Linked DNA regions of Oryzias latipes. The protein of the gene in region 1 binds, or shares a complex with, the protein of each later gene. Links are inferred from orthologs where the notes say so. Each region holds a gene or a part of one and is shown in the gene's direction. Other genes may lie near its edges. The genes, in order: c9h9orf78, ppp1r8, ttf2 and akap17a.

Region 1 (5,489 bases):
GGGCAACTGGTACACGAGCCTTGCAACTTCAGTTTAACGACTCCATCCTCAAACCCTCTGTACACAACATCGCCGCCGTCCTCCTGCACCGTTGGCCTGCAGAGCGAGAAAACAGCGTAATAGAAAACAACAGCTTTAAGAAATAAAGGGATTCCAGAGTTTCATTTCAAGAGGTCTTACCTTATTCTAGTGTCCAGGAGCTCTTTGATCATAGCAACCACTTCATCATCCTCATCTGACGGTGCTGTGAAGAGAAATCGAATGTCTCTGGATTTTTAAAAAGTCTATTTACTCTTCAGTGCAGAATAATACGTACCTGTGTCTGCGCTGGGCTTGCTGTCCTCATTGACAACAGGGAGTCCAGAAGTAAAGAAATCCATGATAGCAGCAAATACATCTGGTTTTATTACTTTCCATTCCATGTTTGCATCAGACTAGAGGAGAAAGTGTATGTCGCTCATTCAGGATAATGCTGACAACTTGACATATATTCATGTGATGGTTTTACCTTTGTGATCGTAATGAAATCTGGGCCAAGAAAAACACTTTTAACTCCATCAATCCTAAAAAGCTGCCTACAAACACAAAATAACACGAATTTAGTGTTGCAATTGAATGCATTTAATGTTTGGGCCATTTGACAAGACTTTGTTGGTATCATGAAGAAACAGAATAAAGAAATAAGTAATAAGTAAATGTAAGTAAGTAAAATAATATATCAAATATATTATCCCAAACAAAATAATTCTCAATATTTTTTAGCACAAATGTTTTAAAAAGCAGTATGCATACCTGCAAAATAATCTGAGGTGAAAACAGAAGTCAAGGGAAATTAATTTTTTAAATGAAAAGTATATTCCCTTGCAAAAACAAACATTTAAAAAAGTAATGTTAGCTCATTTATTAGAGGGATTGCATTGCAGTGTTGTTAGAAATAGCAATTAGTTAGTTTTCTATAACTTGTTCCAAAAGCCTCCAGTAAAATTCAACTTGACAAAAATGTGTACATCCGTGTTTAATGAGTCCTATACCTGGCTAAGGGGGAGCAGTATGCGTCACGAGGGCCTCCAAAATCCATAGTCCCTTCTTCAAGAACCGTCCGGCCAGGCAGAAACTTCAGACTGTTTGGATTAGGAGTGTCCTGCGTCTGCACAAACATTGTTCGTCCTGAATATAGACAAAACAAGAAGAACCACAAAGTGACAACAGTAGTAAGAAGGTGGAAGAGATATGTCTGGTTTTTTACTTCAAGTTCACACACAGGATTTTCTCACGACAAAATAAACTTTACCTACATGTAGTTTGGTATTTGTTGTGACTAAACCCCAAATGTACACATCCAGATTGGACATGCTCACAGTTTGAACACTTTCTTAGAACATGCTGCAATCACCTCTATATCATAGTACCAGTGTTTAAAAACTAATGCAAATACTGGATGATGGAATAAGACAACAAACCAGGAATAACCCAAATGGGGTTTAGTGGCATTCTGTTTGAGACTCTTGTTGCCTGTGATGGAAATCCAGTGCTTGGACAGCCGCTGCCAACGAGCCTAAAATTCATAAAAAAAACAAAACAGAAAAACTTTAATGACAAACAACAACTGTTATAAATGTAAACATTTCAGGTATGTTTAGTGTTTGGGAAGAACATAGTGATTGACAGTTGTTGTCGCTCTTTTTTCTATGGGGTTTAGAGAAACTCGAAATTGCAAAAGAATTTGCACGTACGTAATGTAAATTTGGCAAGCTGATTTAAGTACGTGTACATATTAAACTGCAACGTTATTGACGCACAGGTAGAGAAGAAGCGGAGTGACTTTTTAGCCAATCAGAATGCAGAACACAATGCACGATGCAAATCCGTGAAGTAGCGAAACCGTGAAAAGTACACCGCGTTATAGCAAGGGATCACTGTATACAAAAAAAGCATAGTTAGGAGATTAATGAACAATCTAAGTGTTCAAATATAAAGTAAATAATTCATATTAATTCTAAATCTCTTCTTGTTTTTTGCCTTTACATATTTTTGAAGTGTTAAAATTGTAGAATCACAGAAGCAACAGCCTCCACATAAAATAAAAATCATTGTTTTTTTTTAATAGACATTTTATTTGTCACACACATATACATCTATTGTATGTGTGCAGTGAAATGTATTGCACGACTGAGGAATGATAACGATAAAAAGCTAGATGACTGAATAGAAAACAAATTTCAATAACAATCCAGCTTACTTAAGGTCACAAAAGTTTAAAGTGTCCATTATGTGGTCTAAATGTCTATAAAAGTGAAGTTTGCACGTGCATTTAAATGTTTCTCCAGACACGGCATCTAAAAAACCGGCTATATTTTTTATAGATACGTTCTGTTATTTGTAAGAATGTTTTGGAAATCCTCAGTGAGTGTGAACAGTTCATTTGTGTCATGCGACGCATGCCATGTATGTAAGTGAGCCATGTCATTAAATGTAACCGCTTTCATGTCCTCTGTGTTCATACACACATTCATACATGAATTACGAGAAAGATTAATAAAAACAGAAACCCAAATGCAAAGCACTTACGGCCTTAAAAGTCTCGCTGAAACGCCCAGCAACCTTCCAAACTGTGCGTACGCCGCCATGATTGTTATGGTTAGCTAAACAAGACGGAAATGTGGATTGCGCAAGCGGAAATGACGTAAGTATTTTGTTCATCTGTTAAAGTGTTCCCCGAGACTGCTAACGCGAAAGTCGGTTTTTGTAAAGCTCTGCGTTATAAGGAAACCGATACAATACAAAAATGCCTTCCGGTAAAAATTTTAGGAGGAGAAGGGACTCATCAGATGACGAAGAGGAAGATGAGACAACCGAAGAAGTCAGGTGAGTTAGTTAGACGCAAACTTGCGCCAGCTACTGAGGTAGCCAGCCTCCGGCTAACGTCGTTGTGTCTGTTCATGATTTTTTTTAAACTACATCTAAATTTTAAGATTTTTATTGGAACAAAAGTTTACCACTTCGAATCTGTGCTTCTATCTTGTTTGCAAAGATCAAAGCTAGAGGAGGCTAAAGAAATCCAGAGTTTAAGGAAACGTCAAACCGGTGTCAGGTAATCATTATCACTGTTGTTTCTCGAACTCAAAATATTTTTACCAGATGTACGTGAGTTAAAAAAAAAAACGTGTTGTTATTCTTTAGTGTGACTGCATTACTCGTTGGAGAGAAACTTCCACCAGAGGCTGAAATTGATGTACGTATGGTCCGGATGTTCCTAACACTGCACTGCATGTCTGAGTCACAACAGCAACAAGACTTGTGTAACAAACAATCACTGTTTTCAACAGAATGACCCGTTTAAGCTCAAGACAGGAGGCGTGATAGACATGAAAAAGGTGAAGGATAGAAATAGAGACATGTAAGTAAAATGTTTTTTTATTTTATTTTTTTATATTCTTATTCATTTTATGAATGTCTTACACAGCTTGCCATTCTGTACATAATGCATTGTTTTTGGTTGTTTTCAGGACAGAAGATGAGACGGAGCTGAATCTGGGTACATCCTTCTCAGCTGAAACTAACAGAAGAGATGAAGATGCAGACATGTAAGGACTCGCTGTACAAATACTATAAAACTTTAATGGCCTTATCCACACCTTTTAAAACAAACACTTAGAAAAAAACCAAATCCATATGAGGTATTTTGGAATCAGAGCTCCTTAGACTGTGATTCCATGATGTTTTATCATCAGCTATTAGAGTTTGGTGCATTGCTTGTTGGATAAATGGCCCCATATACGAATGCCTCAAAACTCTCCCTTTTTTTGTGCATAAAGATTTGTCATTGCAGAAATAAGTCTTGAATTTCTTCTTACAGGATGAAGTATATTGAGACAGAGTTGAAGAAGAAAAAAGGACTGGTGGAGGCAGAGGAACAGAAAATCAAAGTAAAAAATCCAGAGGACCACCTCTACGAACTTCCTGAGAACATCCGAGTCAATTCTGCCAAGAAGACGGAGGAGATGTTGTCCAATCAGATGCTGAGTGGGATCCCGGAAGTTGACCTTGGCATTGAGTATGTTCAGGAAGCTGCAAAAATGATCCCTGCTTTAACTCTTCAGGAGGTTTAGTGTGTGCTTAACCTGTTTGTGATTGCTTTTCTAGTGCAAAGATAAAGAATATTATCCAGACGGAGGAGGCAAAAGCAAAGCTTATCGCGGAACAAAGAAACAAGAAAAAAGACAATGGCACCTCATTCGTGCCCACTAACATTGCGGTGAATTACGTCCAACATAACCGCTGTAAGTTCTGGAAGTTTAACTAGGAAAAAAAAAAAAACTGACTCTGAGAGTAACTTGAAAATTGTCCTTTTTGTTTCAGTCTATCATGAAGATTCAAACGCAGCACAGAGGCATCACAGACACAAAGAACCAGAACCCAAACCAAGACCACTGCGTGTGGGTGACACAGAGAAACCAGGTCTAGAAGGTATGACACTTCACTTTCAAGTGCTAAGAGAAGACCGTTTTTTTGTTTTGGTTTCTTATTTAGTCTTTCTAAGGTAATAAAATAAAACAAGGTTTTTAAGAAAATCATTACATTTATTTTAATTTAACTTTACAAATAATCTCACCTCCTTTTTATTGTTTTATATTTAGCCTGTAGATATTCTCTTAAATCTTTGAGAAATGTAAACTAAAAGCTATATTAATTAATTAAAATTTGAAATGACACTGTCTTCAGCAGCTCCATCTCCACCCAACTTCCGCAAACGGCCGAACAACGAGAAGGCCACAGATGACTACCACTATGAGAAGTTCAAGAAGATGAATCGAAGATATTAAAAAAGATCCAGCTTTTTACCGAGTCCAGCAGAGTTATTGTCAGTCGTGACATGGTTATTAGTTTAGATAATTCACATTTCTTTGCTGTTTCTTCCGATTTAGTATTTGGTCAATTGTTTGTAGAAACATCTTCCCCTGTATTTCGTAGATAAAAACAAAACCTCAATGCTAATGAGCATTTAAAATCTTCACACTGAAACCAAATCTTCCTTCAGTCCTGCAACAATTTGAATACCAACAGCATCATTAGTATTAAGAAACTTTAACATACTTTACTTGCTGATCAGTTTCTCAAATTAATTTTTAAAGCTTTTTCTGCTCAATTTATTTTCGATGTACATAACTTCCTGTTCCTTGAACTGTTAGAAAAGATAAAACCATTAACGATGTGTTCTTTTATTTTGGCTAAAACATAACAAAAACATTGCTTGTTAGGTGTAAATATTTAGGTCAAACTGTATTCAATGTTCAAAGATTCATATTTTTTAAATCTTTTTCTTTTCTTTTCTGTGAAGTTTATTAAGTTACCATTGAAAGATGTGTATGGACAATAAATGGGACTTTCAAATCCAGTTTCAAATAAGATCAATGTAACACCACAACCAAAGGTTTAATGAAAACAAAAAAATGCTGCTGTCACAGAACAAGAGTTCTGTCCATGTCCAA
Region 2 (5,600 bases), on another chromosome or scaffold:
AGTGCATCTCAAACCAACCTTTGTGATTGATTGGCAACTCGAACTTTTCATCGTTGGAAACATCCTGACAAGAAACTGAGTGGAGCTCCAATCCAATGATCTTTATCAGATCACCGGTAGAGAAGCACACTTCACTACCAGAGAGTTCATACACAGAACCTGAACAGAGAAAGAAAGAAACATGATCCTTATAAAAGTTTAACATTTTTACTTAATGCAAATATGATCATCACATAAAATGCTTCATGAATGAGACCAGTGGAAGGAAGGAGGGAGGCACATACGCTAAAACAGGCTGAGAATGTTGAAATCCAGACGCAGTAGAACGTGTTTTAGTGCCCGCAGTTTCTGTGTTCCCTTAAACTTCTTTAAAATTTATACTGAAGTCTTTACTTTTCAAAGAACCAAAACCCCACAAGGCTTACCTTGAAAATACACTCCAGAGCACACTTGCAGAATCTTTGGCAAACTGGCCTTGTCCAAGGATGCAAAGTATTCTTGAAGCGGCAAAGCGATGGCACCTGCCATTGCTGTTTCTGTGCTGCTCTCAGAAATGAAAGCAGGAGGTAAATGACAAGCACAGCAAGAAAACAAAAAAAAAAGGAGATGCTCTCGCATCTAAAAACCACAAGAGTGAACAAGGAAGTTAAGGGAGTTATTTGCACAAGTTGTGCACACTGTGGTAAAGGCAGTGAGATATGACTCAGGTCTTGGCTCACAGACAATGTTACAGTTGTTGCAGCTTAATAAAATACACCACAAAGTGAATAAGAGTTTTTACAGATGTCATATATGCACATGAATGTGTGAGAGACAGAATCTGAGAAGAACAATTTCTCCTCTATCAATGGAACAAAACATAAAATGCATTCTTTCTGAATTAAAAATGTTCTAGAAGGACTAACTCTACTGCAATGCCTAAACCTTAGAACTCGTTTTATTTTATTTTACTGTATGCAAATGTACTTGGGTAAGGAAAACTGGATTTGGATGTGTGACACATTAACTAAACATGTGATCTTTACCCCTTTTGCAAATTATAGACGGAAAACATTTCATTTTTGGTTGAAGCCTTACATGTCTGAATCAAATGCAGTTAAAAGTTGTGTCTGCACCCCCTCTTTATGGATCCAGCTCACAGCGCTTTTCTGAAAATGTCTATCATCCTTTCTGAAAGTTCACTTCTGCTTCAGCTTTACACTTTATGCCATCTGTAAACAAAACTTTTACCATCTCCAGCTGACTAACAGAGGTCAACGCTGAACATATTTTTTTATTTAAAACATAGAACTCTAAATGGATCCAAGAGAGTCAGTTAATTTGAGGTAACCCCCCCCCCCCTTCCACCCACCTCAGGCCTGACCAAAAAAGCAAAAACCAGAAGGAGTTCACCCACTCACAAGCAGAAATAGATACAGACACAACTTCAAGCCCCCCAACACAGAATCCCACACATGTTGACCAATCATTTATTTCCAAGAAAATGTTTCCATTTTCAAATTAAGAGTTTAGAGACCTCTAGTGGTCTTTTGTAATTGAATTCTTCATGTTTATTAGGCAGCTTTACAAAGAAACATGCAAATCAAATAAAAAATTACTTGAATTATAACTGTTTTTGTTTGTTTGTTTTTCAAAATATAATATGATAATGTTTTTCATTAGTTAAGTATTTAAAAGTTACTCCCAAACCACTCATCATCTTGAAAAGAAACATTAAACATACAGTACAGACCAAACGTTTGGACAAACCTTCCCATTCATTTGAATGAGAAGGTGTGTCCAAACTTTTGGTCAGTACTGTAGTAAGAAGAACATCTTTCCTATGGGATAGATGGGGAGGCATGTGGTCGAGGGTTCTGCTGTGTAAACCATGAAGAGAAAAGAGAAAAGCTAACAAAAAAAGTCATTTTTGTCATCAAATATTTTTTATAACTTTTTCTGAGTCCCATTACAGGACTGTTGTGAAATTAAAATTAATGACATTATTATTAAAATTAATCTGTATATTTTTAATTAAAATATTACATTTTCTATGAATGGATTTAACACAAGTAAATCAAAATTGAACTTTTTTTGTTAATAAATCTTACAGTGCAATTAAGTTTTAAGTGAAGATCATTTGCCAAAAAAAAAAAAAAACTATTTCAAAAGTTTTACTAAAAAAGAATAATTCCCTGTATCCTGTACAAATCTGACGAATATTGCAATATGGTAAAATTATTATTAATATTATTACTCTTACTATCATTATTATCTCTGAACGACAACTCCCGACATCCCAATGTTTTGTTTACCCAGCATGCATTTTGGTTGCAATATGCTAAAGCAAGATGGCGACTAAAACAGGCAAAGACGGTCCTCCGCCTTTTGATTGTCCATCATGGTGAGAAAACTTACTTATTGCAGAACAAACTAGAAATTTGTAACGCGTTGCTGGATGTGCATTTGCAAAGCTATTTGACCTGTTCATTTGTGCCTTTTAATGCTAAGTAGAAGTCTGTAGTTGCAGTTGCTAACATTAGCTAGGTTAGCATGGTAACCCTTAGCGTTGTTGGCGTCAATTAACCAGAAGGGCTAGAAATTATTTATTCGAACGGGGAAAGCCGTGTTCTTTGTATGAGTAGAATTCACGTCCAGATCAATTAAAAATAATTATTATTATAAATGTGGAAAATATTTATCTTTAAAATATTTATTCTTGAAATAGCTAGCGCGGAGAGAAACATGTAAAAGACATTTGAATTCATTTATTGTAACATTAATTTGTGCATGATCCATGTTTGTTTGTTTTCCCTAAATATTGACAGTAGTTGATCGTCTGTTTACAGGGCAGGCAAACCCCCCACGGGGCTTCATCTTGACGTAATGAAGGGAGACAAACTGATAGAGGTAATAATTGAATGAAAATGTGCAGATGTTGGTCCTGTTATGCAGTAATATGACTGCTTATTCTGCTTTTGTGCCTTACTGTTGTTAAATCATGTATCGTGTAAGTCCATACATGCACCCATACACGAGCCTGACAGTCTGCTCTGTCCCTGATGTTTGAACATCAGGACAGGTCTGTGGCTGCATGGCTTCCAACGGTGCTACAGCAAAATCAGCCGTGAGGTTTAAGCTGATCAGTGGAAGCGACACTGATGAGTTATGACTCAGAGGTACACCTGTACTGTTGAAGCCATACTTTATGTGTGACTGACAGAAAAAACATTCTCTCTTTTCTATAGAAATTGATTATTGATGAGAAGAAGTTTTACCTTTTTGGGAGGAACCCCGACTGGTGTGACTTCACCATCGACCATCAGTCATGTTCCCGTGTTCATGCTGCCTTAGTCTACCACAAACACCTAAAAAGACTCTTCCTTATAGACCTCAACAGCAGTAAGGGATCGCTTTTAGTCCTACCTTTGTATTTGATTTATATTGTTGGAAGAAAGAAACGGTACACAAAGCAGAATGCAATACTGAAGCATTTTAATCATTTAGGAATTGAATACATTCTGCCATCACGTTTGATACATTTACGAATATTAAATCATATGAATAGAGTTAAAAGGATCACCACAGCTTCAACATCCATACACATTTTGTTTGTTTGTATTTCATGTGTTGTGATGAAATCACGGATCGTATCACTGAAAAATTTAGATTTGATCAACTTTCTGACTTTAAAGCAAATATCTTTCCCAATTGCTAAAAGAGTTGGAGTGTACGGTGGTGGTAAAAATTGCATCTTGTTTTGTTGTAGTATTGTTTCATTGTTATGACAGTGTTGCGTTACCTCTTTATTTTATTCTTTTGGGAAACCTTATTTGATTGTTACCCTTTCAGCACATGGTACTTTCCTTGGACACATCCGCCTCGAGGCCCACAAGCCTCAGCAGGTTCCTATAGACTCCACTTTAGCTTTTGGGGCTTCCACGCGAACGTATATCATCAGAGAGAAACCCCAAACCCAAGGCAGCACTAGCACAGGAGACAATAAGACGGGAGATGACGAGGAGCTCAAAGGACTTCTAGGTCTTCCAGAAGAAGAAACAGAGTTAGATGTACGTTATGTTTTCTGATCAATCTTGTTTTCATCTCTGTTTATTCCAGTCTTTTTGCCTGTTGATTCTTGAACTCTGGCTAAATTTGTCAAACTACTAAAGTTTAAGATTTGCTTGTTTGCTTTTATACAAATAGACCTGCATATTTTACTTTGACCATGTGTGCATGGTCAAAGTAAAAGTAAAAGTAAGTAGTGGCAAGGTTTAGTTTCAGAATACTACTATGTTTTTTCCCACTTATGAATCCTTTAATCCCGTCTACCGGTTGGTTGAAATGTTGTAGCCGCCTTACAAATGTTTGTGGTTTCTGAATCCTGTCAGAATCTGACAGAGTTCAACACAGCTCACAACAAGCGCATCTCGCTATTGACCATTGAAGAAGGCAACCTGGAAATCCAAAGACCTAAAAGGAAACGCAGAAACTCCAGAGTCACCTTCAGTGAAGAGGACTCCATCATTAACCCAGGTACTTACCAGTGTAAAAAATAAAAAACTTCATTTATGAACTTCTTGTTTTTAATCATAGCTGTTTTCACCTCTTGAGACAGGATGAATATTTTTTTGGTAGATTTCCTGTGGACTAGTTCTTTATATATATATATATAAGTTTATGTACTGGTAAATAGTTTTTTGTTTTTTTTGGGGGGGGTGTGTAGTTAATTTCCCTTTTTATTAAAGCACAGTCAAATAATTCTGTCAATGTTGCTTTCTAAAGATATACACCCAAATTTTAGTTTATGAAAAGGCTGAAAAATATTTGTAAAATACATTGATATTACTTTTGCAGTTGTGTCAAAGTGTGTCTATTCCATGTTATTCTCCAGTTATTAGGATTCTCATGAATGTAGATGTGTGAAAACATCTCTAAAAGGCTTTTTCTCCTTTTCAGAGGATATTGACCCCTCGGTCGGTCGCTTCAGGAACATGGTGCAAACAGCTGTCATCCCCATCAAGGTAAACTGTCGAAGGATTTTGGTGATTATTTGTATGAGAACTGGACCGAGCAAGAATGGTTTACTTCCAACAAAATGAAATTAATTAACGTTCAACATGAGACCATAATCTTATATTGAGGCGTCTGATTGGTCAGTTTATAACATGAATAACTTGCATTAAAGAAAAAAAATAAGATTAGCAAGAAGATGTTTTTGAAGGTAAAAAGAGCAAGAATAGTTATTTAATCGATGTGAACATATAGTGTTATAATTTAAATTCTGAACAGACTTTATGCCTTCTGTAAATCTGTAAAAGAAACAAAGTTGTACAGCTTCCAGCTTAACCCATCAGACTAATAGTTGACTTTTTTGTTGTAGAAACGCAGAGCGGAGGGCCAAAACACTCTGGGACTGGACGAGCTGACAGCAAAGCGCATGCATGGCTACAGCTTAGGTGGTGGTCTGTATGGGGACTTGCCTCCCACCAGTCATGAAAACCAGCCTACAGGAGCGCCCGGGGGTGCTGCCATGCAAGGAGGACTTCCTTTGCCCTTCCCAAACCCAGCGCCGGAGGTGGACCTGGCCCCAGAGGCTCCTCACCCCCCAATTTCTCTCA
Region 3 (5,516 bases), on another chromosome or scaffold:
CAATCTGAGAAAAACTTGTAATATTTGTGATCAATATTGCGATGACCATATGACTTATGATTCGTGATCAACTAGCAAAACAAAAAACAACTAATAGATCATTTCCGTTTCACTGCAAGTTTGATTTAAATAAAAGTCAACATAACTTCAACTATACTCCAAATAACCCTCATCTAAATAGGAGGCAGGCATCTAATATTAAAGGGCTCCATCTGATTGGTCAAATATATAATGTGCTCTATATGGTTCATTAAATACTTCAAGCTGCCATGAGATTGGCTTAGCATGTGTGTATAGATTTAAGGTAACCATTTATGGCACTTTAAGGTGTCTTTTCCAATATGCATACTACACAGACTGATATCACAGTGATGATAAATGTGCAATTTATTGTGCAGGCAGAGTGTTGGTATTTATATGGAATGGCTGGATATTGGAGCTGAATATTTACCCACTATTCAGATTTTTCCAGTGGATTTGTCTTTTTATGCATTGTACTGTAGGTGACATACCACTGGCCTCTGATGAAAATGGTGTTTTTAACATGCTTTTGTGGCATTTTTCTGATGATGGAGTACATATATGAAAAAATTACGCTTAAAATTGCATTTATGACTGTTTTCTATTCAAATGTTACGGTTGGGGGTTCCTACAGGGGGTACGAGGGGCTGGAAGCTAGAGGGAGAGACTGTAAACAGAAAGCTCTCAGTAACAGTGAAGGGAAAGGGGGCGGAGTTGTTTCATGCCAACGGTCCTGCCCACAACTCAGACGTGAATTTCTGATGAACTATTGCTACTCTGCAGAAACTATGTCCTAAAAACGACACGGGTTTTTTGGTCCTGGCTAAAAACGGCATCTTCGTGATTCAAAGACCACTGGAAATGCTTTGAAAATAGATTAAAAGATGATCGGAGTGGGACTTAAAGGTATGATGAGAAGTAAAGATATAATAATTTATTAGAAAAGTTCTTACCTGTTCCAGTTTCATCATTATGGGTAAATCTTCGTTTGCCATCGCATCCAGTTTGTCGAACTGATCCTGTAGGATTGCTGTCGGTACAGACAGTTCGCAGTTCGTCGGCCTATACGTTACATCCCCGCGAACAGGCCGCTCACAGCCTTCAGCGCCAATGAGGCTGCTGTCTGTGGAGGCGGACAGAGGGGCGAAGTCAGAGGCGAAGGAGTCCTCCGGCATCTGCGGCGCGGGCCCCTTGGCAGTGACGTACCGCAGCGATCCGGCCAAATCCGGTGAGGGATGGAGGATGACGCCGGCGCGGGTCCTGCTCGGCGTCCAGCGAGCCAGGATGTCTGGCTCGGGGAAGCCAAGCCCGGCAGGAGATGTCATGTTGACCCAGGTTGTTTAGGAAGCTAATCCGGGATTTGAAAAACAGATTACAGTGGCCGGTTAAAGGTTAATTTCATCATGACGAGACATCACCGGAAAGGATTCACGTTAAAAATCCCAAATAAATTTTAAAAAAAGTGTCAGACGTTAAACTTTAACGAACAGTGTGTCTGCAAATAATACCGTTAGTGACAACAGCTAATTAAACTGCTAACATTAAATTGTTGTAATCAACATTTGTTTAAATATTTTAAAAAAGGTTACTGTCATTTAGTGTAATCAGGCCCAGGGTGGATCTATCTACACAAAAAAACGTATCATGTTACCCGCTCCCGCTGTTTGCCAAAACTGTAACGTTTCTTTTAAAAATTATTAACAAAATAAAAAAAGTACGCATTATAATCTAATCCAAAGATATTTACCTTCAATACACAAGAAATGCAGCCTCGTTCTTGTAACATAAAACGTTGTGTATTTACACCAGAAACAAGTTTTGAAAGCTGCCGCCATATCAAAACAAAGCCCGCGAGAGTTCTGCAGCACTGGTGAATTGTGGGTATTATAGTTAAAATTTTTTAGACTTTAAGATCTCAATTTTTTTAATTTATTGTTGTAATTATTTTAAATTATACTAAATATATTTAATAATATAAGTGACTAAACAAATTTAGATAAACATAACGCTCACCTTTAGAAGCAGACCAACAGCCACACGAATTACATCCGGGTCAAGTCCATGTTTCAGAACCCAAAGTCATTTATTTATTATGTCTTACATATTTAGTATTTGAACAGCTGTTTTTTGTATTAATCGTTTTGACACTGACTAATATGTGTCCTTATTTTATTTTAATAATTTTTATTTTACCCAATCTTTTGGAAATAAAAAAAGCCCACCCTTTCATGGGGTGTTCCTAAAACCGGATGTGCCTTCTGGACGTTTTGATTGGTCGAAACAAAAATACCCGAGTTTGATGACACGCAGGGCAGTTAGAAACCAAAGCTTAAATACGTTGAGACAATGGAGAAGGTTTTGTGCAGTGACCACGGTACGTCAATACATATTATTTGATCTTGTTTAAATAAAATGTGCTGTCGTCATTTTAAGTTTGGAAACGCTTGCTGTCATTTAATGTCATGTTAGCATAGAATTTTCGTTTTGACCTAAAACTTAAACTAAAGTCAAAGTGTAGCTCGTCGATAGTGGTGTGGGACTTGCAAATTTCTCAGTTTTTCCGTATCTGCTTTCTTTTGCAGGTGGCATTTGTATGTTGAAAACAGGGGTTAAGGACGGACCGAGTAAAGGCAAAAGTTTCTACGTCTGCGTAAGCGAGCAGGGCTGTGACTTTAGTCAACAGACCAGGTAATTTCCCCAATGCCTCGGCCTCGCGGGTGTGACTTTCAGTTTTAAAATCTAGTTTTTATTTTAGAACTTTCTATAGTATATTCAGAGAGATCAGTTATCTACAAGTGCAGAATATATAGTTTAGTTTGATAATGGCGTGGTTTTGTGTAGGTTTATGATTATGCCTTGTAATAACTGTCGCTGTCATGTGTGCCAGTCTCCCTCCCTCCCACTGCATCAACCATGAAGATTCAATGGTAGAACTTCAGGCCATCAGCTTCAGCCAGAAACACCAAAGCCACAGGTATGTGTGTGTTTATCCTTCACACTTACAGACCTCCTCTGACGAAAATTGTGTTTTTAAAATGTTTTCATATGTGTTGCTATAAAACTTAAATGTTGCATTTTTCTGATGATGCAGAACACATAAAAAGAAAATCAGGCTTAAAATTGCTTTTCTGGGTCTTTCTTTCTTTAAATCATTGTAAATCAGGATCAGAAGAAAAAATTGTGTTTATAAAAACAGCTTATTTGTGACGTAGAAAATCCGCTGGATGGGTCGCAAGCTCCCTGCTGCGCTCCATTCTGATGCATCCACTTGCAGACAATTTATCTCATGTACGTCTTTGTTTTCCTCGTCTGAGCTGACACCCGGCTCAAAACTGTATGGGTGGATAGCTCTGATATTGTTCGCCATTTCTGTCGCACCAATAGCTAGTGTGAGAGTATGTATGGGTTATGGGTAACGGGTTGCTGTGCACCAACTGTCCCACCCACAACTGAACTCAGAGGTGAATTTCTTATAAACAACTGCCGCTCTGCAGAAACTACCTCCTGGCAAACGACGCAGGGTTCAATTTAGGTGGAAAAAAAGTATAATTACAATTAAAAGACAGTTGGGAACGCTTTTGCAAAAGATGATTGGTTTGGGGGACTTTAAGATGGGAATGTGAAATATGACTCTTCTTTTCTTTGTTTTTTTTTTTTCAAGGCTTTACTACAGATGCATTGTGGGTAAAAAGTCCGGACAGAGATGGTGTGGTAGTGTTCCTTGGACTACAGTAAGACCTGTTACACATTTAATCTCAAACCAAGGCGGTGACATCTCGTCTTTAATTCAGGACAGGCTTCTTTCTCATCTCTTAGTTGTTACATTTTAATTTCTCTAATAAAAACAGCATCTTATTGTGTTGTAACTGCACATTTTTCCTATCTGATATTCCTATGAATATCTTGCATTTTTATATCATAAGAAAAATTACCTGCAATAAGTCACCACTCAAATTTGATCAAAATAATACAGTTCTTTTAATTTACATAATTATTTTCATTTGTGGTTTGACTTCTTTATTAATTCTTATCCTATTCCACTGCAGCAAGAAAAAGAAAACAGAATCCCTCTGTTAAGCACACAGCTTCAGCCTTCCTGCATCCCTCCTATCAGAAACCCTTTTAAGGCTCCTGGAAAGATGTACAAAGACTCTGATTGGAAGAAGATGGAGGTTGCTGGACACAAGGAGAGCGAGAAGAAAAACATGAAGACAAGTCACATGGCTGAAGGTGGAGAAGGTTTTCGGAAGGAAATTGCAGAAAAAATAAACACCTATCAAGGTAAAACACTTCCACAGGGGATGAAGATAAAGAAGAGGACATCGGGGGAGGACAGCAGCAAAACTGACAGCATAGAAAAGACAACAGCTGTGATCACAGAAAAAACTGAGAAGAAGCTTGAAGGAGCGCAAAATAAGACGTCTACATCAAGCACAGAAGTTCAGCCTGAAAAAATGAATCAAGTTTCCTCTGATGTTCACAAAAGTTTGCAAACTAGTGACAAAGCCCTGCCAGGGAATCAAACTGACCCCCCGGTCCAAAGGAGCATCACTGAATCCAAACCCAGCAACAGCTCACATGCTTCTAGGAGCCCTGGCTGTGTTGCTATATTAGATGAGGATTCTGAAGAGAGCAGATCCAACAGAGATGAAACCAATGACGATGTAGTGTTTGTGTCAGAGAAACCCGCCTCTCAGAAAACCACCCCGACATCTGCGATCCAAAAGACCATAACCAACTTTCCAGGGTTCCAGTGTGTGGCAAAGCAGGGAGGCCCTAAAGAGAGGCTTAACCTGCTGTCTGTTCAGCTCAAACAGAAAAAGGTACACAGGAAGTTTTTCTAGTAAGAATAAAAAAAAACAAATGTTTTTCTGTCATAACAGGAAAATAGACCTTCTCTTAAGATGTCATTTCCTTTTTTTGTCCCTGAAGGCCACTCTCTCTGCTATAAATGTGGCTGCTTTGCCAGATAAAGGAGAGAAACTGCAAATCCAGATCAAAGAATTGGAGGACGAGCTGGAGTCACTGAGTTTGTCTGCAGCTTCTCATACAGGTGAGGTGTCTGCCACACTCTTAAGGTTCAGAAACACACGGGTTCTGTCATTTTGATTTACATATTAGCTTGTTGATGCTTATTGAAGGTAAATGAGGAATGACTATAATACAAAGACAGTTTCAAGTCCCACTCTAATGATATTCTGATCTAATGTAAAAGCGTTCCAAGTAGTTTTTTTTAATCATTATTATGCTGTTTGTAGCCAAAAAAAAAGAAACAGTTGTTTTCTAGGACATATTTTCTGCCGAGCAGCATTAGAAATTCACCATTACCAGTGCAACAGAAATGCAATAAGAAGTAATATTGGGACTATCAAGCTGTAAAGTTTTGAACCAGATACCAGCACGGACAAGGAAATCAAGAGCTTGTGGCCGGCCGATTGTAGCTTCTGCCTGACTACAAGCTTTTTCAAATGGCATTACCCGTATTCAGTTGCTTC
Region 4 (5,667 bases), on another chromosome or scaffold:
AGAAGGCATGACTGGGGGTCACATAGATCTAGGAGCTTTACATGAAACTCACAGGTAGTTGTGGCCTTTGAGTCTGCTACCAAACAAGAAACAGATATTTAAATATGTGTACCGTCTATTTGTATAATGTCTTACTCCATTCCACCATAAAGTCTTCTTCTCTTTACCTCTAAAGCCTGCTGGCTTTGATTCTCTCTAATGTTTTATTTCTCTCTCTGTCTCTCTCTCTCTCTCTGTCTCTCTCTCTCTCTCTCTCTCTCTCTCTATATATATATATATATATATAAGCACCAGTGGCAGTTGATCAGATACAGAATTGTTATACAGATACACAATATATGATATATATTATATTTATCCTCCTGAGAACCGAAGAAAAAAAGTGTCTTACAATTTCTGTTTTTTTGTGATTTCCTATCCATTTGGGCCTAAATAAACACCTTACAATTTAAATTTTTTTAAAAATGTTTTTTTTATTTTAATTTCCCAACACGTCCACTGTAGAGGACAACAGGACGATATTTCTGTGAAAATAGAAGTTAATTTGGAAAATCAGAAAAAAGGAGCAGATTAAATCTTTAGAGTGATATTCACCCAAAAAACATTACATTTTGTTCTAAAACAATAAAATTCAGCATCACTCTTTTGTTACTTGTTGGACCATCTGCTACAGAGGAAGATCGACCGCTAAATTGAGAGCTTTGCTTATTGGCTCAGCTCTCTCCTCACCGCAACGGACGGATACAGCGACCGCATAACTACGGACGCTGCTCCGATCCACCTGTCAATCTCATGCTCCTGTCTTCCCATACTCATGGACAAGACTCCAAGATATTTAAACTTCTCCACCTGGGGCAGGGACACTCTACCCACCAAGAGATGGCAAACTACCTTTCTTTGGTCGAAAACCATGGGCTCAGATTTAGCAGTGCTGACCCTCATCCCGGCCATTTCACACTCTACCACAAACCACTCCAATGCATGCTGGAGGTCCCGGCTTAATGAAGCCAACAGGACAACATCATCTGCAAAGAGCAGAGATGAAACCCTATGGTCCCCAAACCAGACCCCCTCCGGGCCCTGCCTGTGCCCTAGAAATTCTGTCCATAAAAACTATCAACAGAACCGGTGATAAAGGGCAGACCTGCTGGACTCCAACGTGCACCGGGAACAGGTTTGACTTACTGCCGGCTATGCGAACCAAGCTCTTGCTCCGGTCATGCAGAGACCAGACAGCCCTCAGTAAGGCTCCCCGGACCCCATACTCCCATAGTTCCCTCCACAGGATACGGGGGACGGACGTGGTCGAACGCCTTCTCCAAATCCACAAAACACATCTGGACTGAATGAGCGAACTCCCGCATTCCCTCCAGCACCCTAGAGAGGGTGTAGAGCTGTTATACTGTTCCACGACCAGGACGGAAACCTAACTGTTGTTCCTGGATCTGAGGTTCCACTATCGGACCGACTGTCTTCTCCAGTACTGTGGCCTATTGACTTTCCTAGAGAGCCGGGGGTGTGTGATTCCCTGGTAGTTTGAACAAAACTAGATCAAAAACAGATCCTCAAAAATGTTATCAATGTACTGGGAAAAGTACGAGATTGAACTCCGGTATTCACAAACTTTGGCGTCATCTTGATAGGCAGGGCGCCCTGGTAGTACAGGTGTAAACCTCTTATGATGGACGTTTAAAAAACACAAAAAAATCAAGTTATTTAAAAAAAACAGTTATTTCTTCCTGAATCTCATCCTTTTTATCATCTCAAAGCTCCAAATCTGAATCTCTCTCAACTATCTGGTATAAAATCCTCTCTGCTTCACTTTTTTCTCCAAACATTATGTGCAGCAATTAAATACATTAAAATGGTCCCGGTGTCCTCTACAGTGGACATTCATTAAATGCCTGCTGTTTTAAAACCGAAAACATGAAACTTTTTTCAGATCTAAAAATATTGTTCCTAACATGTTTATGACCAAGAATATATATAATTATCATGGTAAAAAAAGGAATAGATACATAATTTTTGACTTGCCTTTCACCTTTCCATAAAATTAGGTAAATGGCATGGAAGCCATCTTTGTAGAGGTAAAACTTAAAGTTCCCAGCATGCAAACTCATCACATGACACATCAATGGAAAGCCCAGGATGTCCTCTACAGATTAAAGTAGGATTCGGAAAGGCATCTCTTAATTCCTTAGAAATATACAGATAAACAAAATGACCATTATAGAGGACATAAGTGAATGGGCCGGGTCTCAGGAGGATATTATTTTTTTTAATATATAGTATAGCTTTTACCACAGTGTGTCGCTGTTTCTTCCCACCGCCACTAATAGCAGTTTCTCGTAGTTTCCTTGTCAGGTCAAAGTTCACTGGATGCGGAATCGGCGTACCACGGCTTTTTTCAATGAAATAGTTGTATGATATATATAGTTTGACTCTGCAGCGCCTGGCTCTCAGGCTCAGGAACTCTTTATACACCCAGACTTAAATGTTTGGCGAGTTGTTGTTAAAAATAACTAACGTTAGCCAACTCTTATGTAATAGCAGACAGCTGCTACACTGGAGAAAAAAGGCATCTGTGGTGCTGGAGCTATCTAAGCTAACTACACGGTTCCCCGCCACGCAAACCATAGAGTAAGTGATTATGACTGATGACTTTGTGCGAAAAGAATGACTTGGTGTGTTTGTGACGCTGTTTATCACGTTTCCCCTCATTATTATTGATTTACGATCCTAAATGTATTTCTGTTCGTTGCGTAGCATGATGGGTAGCTCAAGTTAGCGGTAACTTAGCTGATGTTTTGGTTTGGTATTCATTTATTTAAAGTACTTGTAAGTAATTATTTGCTAGTAAATTAAATATGTTCCCCCTGTATAGTATTATTCGTGTATAAATATGCTACTGATTTGATTCGAGTATTAAGAAAAAACATTGAATAGAATTGTAACAGCTAGAGGTTAAGCTGAATAGCATCAATTAATTTGTTTATTTACAGACTTGAGGTCTACATATAAACACCACAACCATATATAACAGACAGTCATATAGAATAAAATCACTAGTCAAAAAAAGTGAATATAACAACAATAATAGTGATTAAAAAAAAGAAATGTGTAGCATTGGGGACTGGCATACACAAGTCCTGTCTAAATCTGTCAGTTTTGTGGAATTCTCTTTATTTCTTTGTGATATTTTTGTTCTTGTTTTGGCTACAGGGTCTGCGTAGATGTGTGAACTAGCTTAGCTGGAAAATCTCTGATTTTTCTGGTCCTTGGGGCATCCTCACTCGTCTCTGAATGACAATGACCACCATCGTCCACGACACCACAGAGGCAGTCTGCTTGTCCGCCGAGTACAATTTGTACCTCAAGCCGATAGCTAAAATGACCGTCAGCGTGGCCCTACCCCAGCTCAAGCTGCCAGGCAAGAGCATCTCCAACTGGGAAGTGATGGAGAGGGTGAAGGCGATGGTCGCTCCTGAGCAGTTCTCCGCCCTCAGAATCTCCAAGAGCACCATGGACTTCATCCGCTTTGAGGGCGAGGTGGAGAACAAGACTGTGGTCAAAGGCCTGCTAAGCCGTCTTGATGGAAAGACCATTAAACTTAGTGGATTCACCGATGTGCTCAAGGTAAGGCTGACAGTTTGAATCACCAATTGCTTAATTATTGCGTTTAAACTAAAGACGCACTCTGATGAAAACCGTGTTTTGGGTGTTTTTAATTATGAATTTGTAGCATTTTTCTGATGGTGGAGACATCTACGAAAAATATCAAGCTTAAATTAGTATTTCTGAGTATTTCTTTAGTGAAATCATGTGAATCAGGAGCAGACAAAAAATTACTTGTAGGTGGGATTTAGAAACTACGATGGCAAGCCACAAACCCCCCTTGCTCCGCTCCACTCTGATGCATCCACTTGCAGACAAATAGATCCATGTACGTCTTTGTTTTCCTCATCTGAGCTGACATCTAGCTCAGAACTGTACAGCTGGATAGCTCCGATATTGGGCGCAATTCTTGGTGCACCAGTAATGTCATGTCGGGGTTGTGAGGGGACTGAAAGCTAGCGGGAAAGAACGTAAACAGATGGATGATGGGAAGGGGACAGGCTTACTCTGTGCCAACAGTTCCGCCCACAACTCGAAGGCAAATTTTTAATGAACTCCAGCCGCTCTGTAGCAACTCTGTCCTAGAAGAATACGCAACGATTACATTGATTCATTTTTTTCATTCATCTTCTATCGTTTATTCCCTTTCAGGGTCACGGGGCTGCCGGAGCCTATCCCGGCCACTTTACAATAGATCAAAAAATGATTGGAGTGGGACTTTAAAGACTTTTATACATTATAATTTGTTCCATTAGACTAATACTTCAACTATATCTCTACCACAAAATGGATGGACTGTATGTGATGCATTCGTTGGTCTGTCTTCGTCCCTCAGGTTCGGGCAGTAGAAAATAAGGTGGAATTCCCCACCCGCCATGACTGGGACTCCTTTTTCCGTGATGCTAAGGACATGAATGAGACCCTGCCTGGAGAGAGGCCGGACACCATCCACCTGGAAGGCCTTCCCTGTCGCTGGTTCAGTCAGAAAGACAGTCAGTTCCCAGATCGGCCCTCAGAAGAAGTCCTCATTGCTGTTTTCCAGACATTTGGGAAGGTAATTGTCGATTAAAGACATACATTCTTCTCAGTTGGTAGTTCTGTATGTGACTATTTTTACATTTCTATACGTTTAACCAGGCTGTTCAGTACAAATCATGTTTTCTCAGCAAAAAGCTAAATTAAATAGAAAAATACAGATTGTTTATAGTTGCAAAGGTTTGCTGATCAGCTTTCCCTCTATTAACATGTTAGAGCATTTATAGAACCTCATACTGTTAATGTTTTTCATTTTTTGCTCTTCTTTGGAACAGTTTGTCTGAATCTATTTTTTTTTTTTGTGTAGGAAGAAGTCTGTATTTCTGCTTTTTTTTTACATCCAATTAGAGAACCCAGGTGAAAGTGTCTGAGTTCAAAGATCAGAAAGACCCCCTAAGCGTCAGAGTTCTTTATTAATAAACCAATAATAAAATCCAAACACCAAGTAGAAGAAGAGATGAAATAATGGCAACATATTTTGTGTTGTCTTTGTCAATTCTGGACTTTTAATTTGTTATGACAAACAAATAAAAAGGCAAGTTCTGATTCAGTTGGATTATATATTTTTCCAAAGAATTTGTTAAACCAGTGTTGGATGAAAATAACTACTTTTTCCTTCAATAAATTCGCTAAAACATTTTTACTGTGGCAATTAAAGAATCCAGATGAAATTATGGTTAAAATGCCTTGATCTAATCTGGATCCTCTACTTGCCACAGTATAAAAGTTTGGTGGTAGATAGAATGAAATATTCATTTTTACATCAAATGTATTTTTGGTGATTAACCGATTAGGCGGTTATTTATTCACCAAATAGGATTATCATCCAAGAAAGTACTGATTGAAGTTCTTATAGTTTTTATGAAGCTTCTTTTTATTCAGGCAATGTCTATGCCTGCCTGCATGTGTTGACTGGATGACTAAATGAAACTCATTTTGAAGGAGTTATCCCTTCCATTTGTTTGAATCTAGTTGCTTCACTATTTCTTTTATTCTTAAGACGATCAAAGTTATTTT

The links.
Region 2: c9h9orf78 (region 1) and ppp1r8 share a complex: the UniProt entries of both Homo sapiens proteins name them as parts of the spliceosome. The link is inferred for Oryzias latipes from reciprocal best matches to the Homo sapiens genes C9orf78 and PPP1R8.
Region 3: c9h9orf78 (region 1) and ttf2 share a complex: the UniProt entries of both Homo sapiens proteins name them as parts of the spliceosome. The link is inferred for Oryzias latipes from reciprocal best matches to the Homo sapiens genes C9orf78 and TTF2.
Region 4: c9h9orf78 (region 1) and akap17a share a complex: the UniProt entries of both Homo sapiens proteins name them as parts of the spliceosome. The link is inferred for Oryzias latipes from reciprocal best matches to the Homo sapiens genes C9orf78 and AKAP17A.

The regions. Positions count from the first base shown.
Region 1 is NC_019867.2:17,114,842-17,120,330, forward strand, and holds c9h9orf78 (telomere length and silencing protein 1 homolog), read left to right. Parts: upstream 1-2,689; 5' UTR 2,690-2,785; coding exon 2,786-2,865; intron 2,866-3,031; coding exon 3,032-3,091; intron 3,092-3,180; coding exon 3,181-3,232; intron 3,233-3,326; coding exon 3,327-3,397; intron 3,398-3,506; coding exon 3,507-3,584; intron 3,585-3,856; coding exon 3,857-4,054; intron 4,055-4,143; coding exon 4,144-4,280; intron 4,281-4,359; coding exon 4,360-4,467; intron 4,468-4,722; coding exon 4,723-4,823; 3' UTR 4,824-5,394; downstream 5,395-5,489. Other genes in the region: NFU1 iron-sulfur cluster scaffold homolog, mitochondrial, read right to left, coding at 1-96, 181-244, 317-434, 509-575, 1,032-1,167, 1,461-1,555, 2,569-2,627. UniProt on the Homo sapiens protein: Plays a role in pre-mRNA splicing by promoting usage of the upstream 3'-splice site at alternative NAGNAG splice sites; these are sites featuring alternative acceptor motifs separated by only a few nucleotides. May also modulate exon inclusion events.
Region 2 is NC_019874.2:22,802,131-22,807,730, reverse strand, and holds the start of ppp1r8 (nuclear inhibitor of protein phosphatase 1), read left to right. Parts: upstream 1-2,283; 5' UTR 2,284-2,330; coding exon 2,331-2,383; intron 2,384-2,828; coding exon 2,829-2,889; intron 2,890-3,001; exon of another isoform or gene 3,002-3,140; coding exon of another isoform or gene 3,141-3,158; exon of another isoform or gene 3,159-3,166; intron 3,167-3,227; coding exon 3,228-3,381; intron 3,382-3,831; coding exon 3,832-4,049; intron 4,050-4,370; coding exon 4,371-4,515; intron 4,516-4,938; coding exon 4,939-5,003; intron 5,004-5,362; coding exon 5,363-5,600. Other genes in the region: protein THEMIS2, read right to left, coding at 19-159, 426-618. UniProt on the Homo sapiens protein: Inhibitor subunit of the major nuclear protein phosphatase-1 (PP-1). It has RNA-binding activity but does not cleave RNA and may target PP-1 to RNA-associated substrates. May also be involved in pre-mRNA splicing.
Region 3 is NC_019879.2:11,143,908-11,149,423, forward strand, and holds the start of ttf2 (transcription termination factor 2), read left to right. Parts: upstream 1-2,283; 5' UTR 2,284-2,367; coding exon 2,368-2,395; intron 2,396-2,603; coding exon 2,604-2,709; intron 2,710-2,908; coding exon 2,909-2,995; intron 2,996-3,682; coding exon 3,683-3,752; intron 3,753-4,067; coding exon 4,068-4,844; intron 4,845-4,953; coding exon 4,954-5,074; intron 5,075-5,516. Other genes in the region: cenpj (centromere protein J), read right to left, coding at 975-1,346. UniProt on the Homo sapiens protein: DsDNA-dependent ATPase which acts as a transcription termination factor by coupling ATP hydrolysis with removal of RNA polymerase II from the DNA template. May contribute to mitotic transcription repression. May also be involved in pre-mRNA splicing.
Region 4 is NC_019879.2:18,185,102-18,190,768, forward strand, and holds the start of akap17a (A-kinase anchor protein 17A), read left to right. Parts: upstream 1-2,355; 5' UTR 2,356-2,640; intron 2,641-3,222; 5' UTR 3,223-3,303; coding exon 3,304-3,636; intron 3,637-4,450; coding exon 4,451-4,669; intron 4,670-5,667. UniProt on the Homo sapiens protein: Splice factor regulating alternative splice site selection for certain mRNA precursors. Mediates regulation of pre-mRNA splicing in a PKA-dependent manner.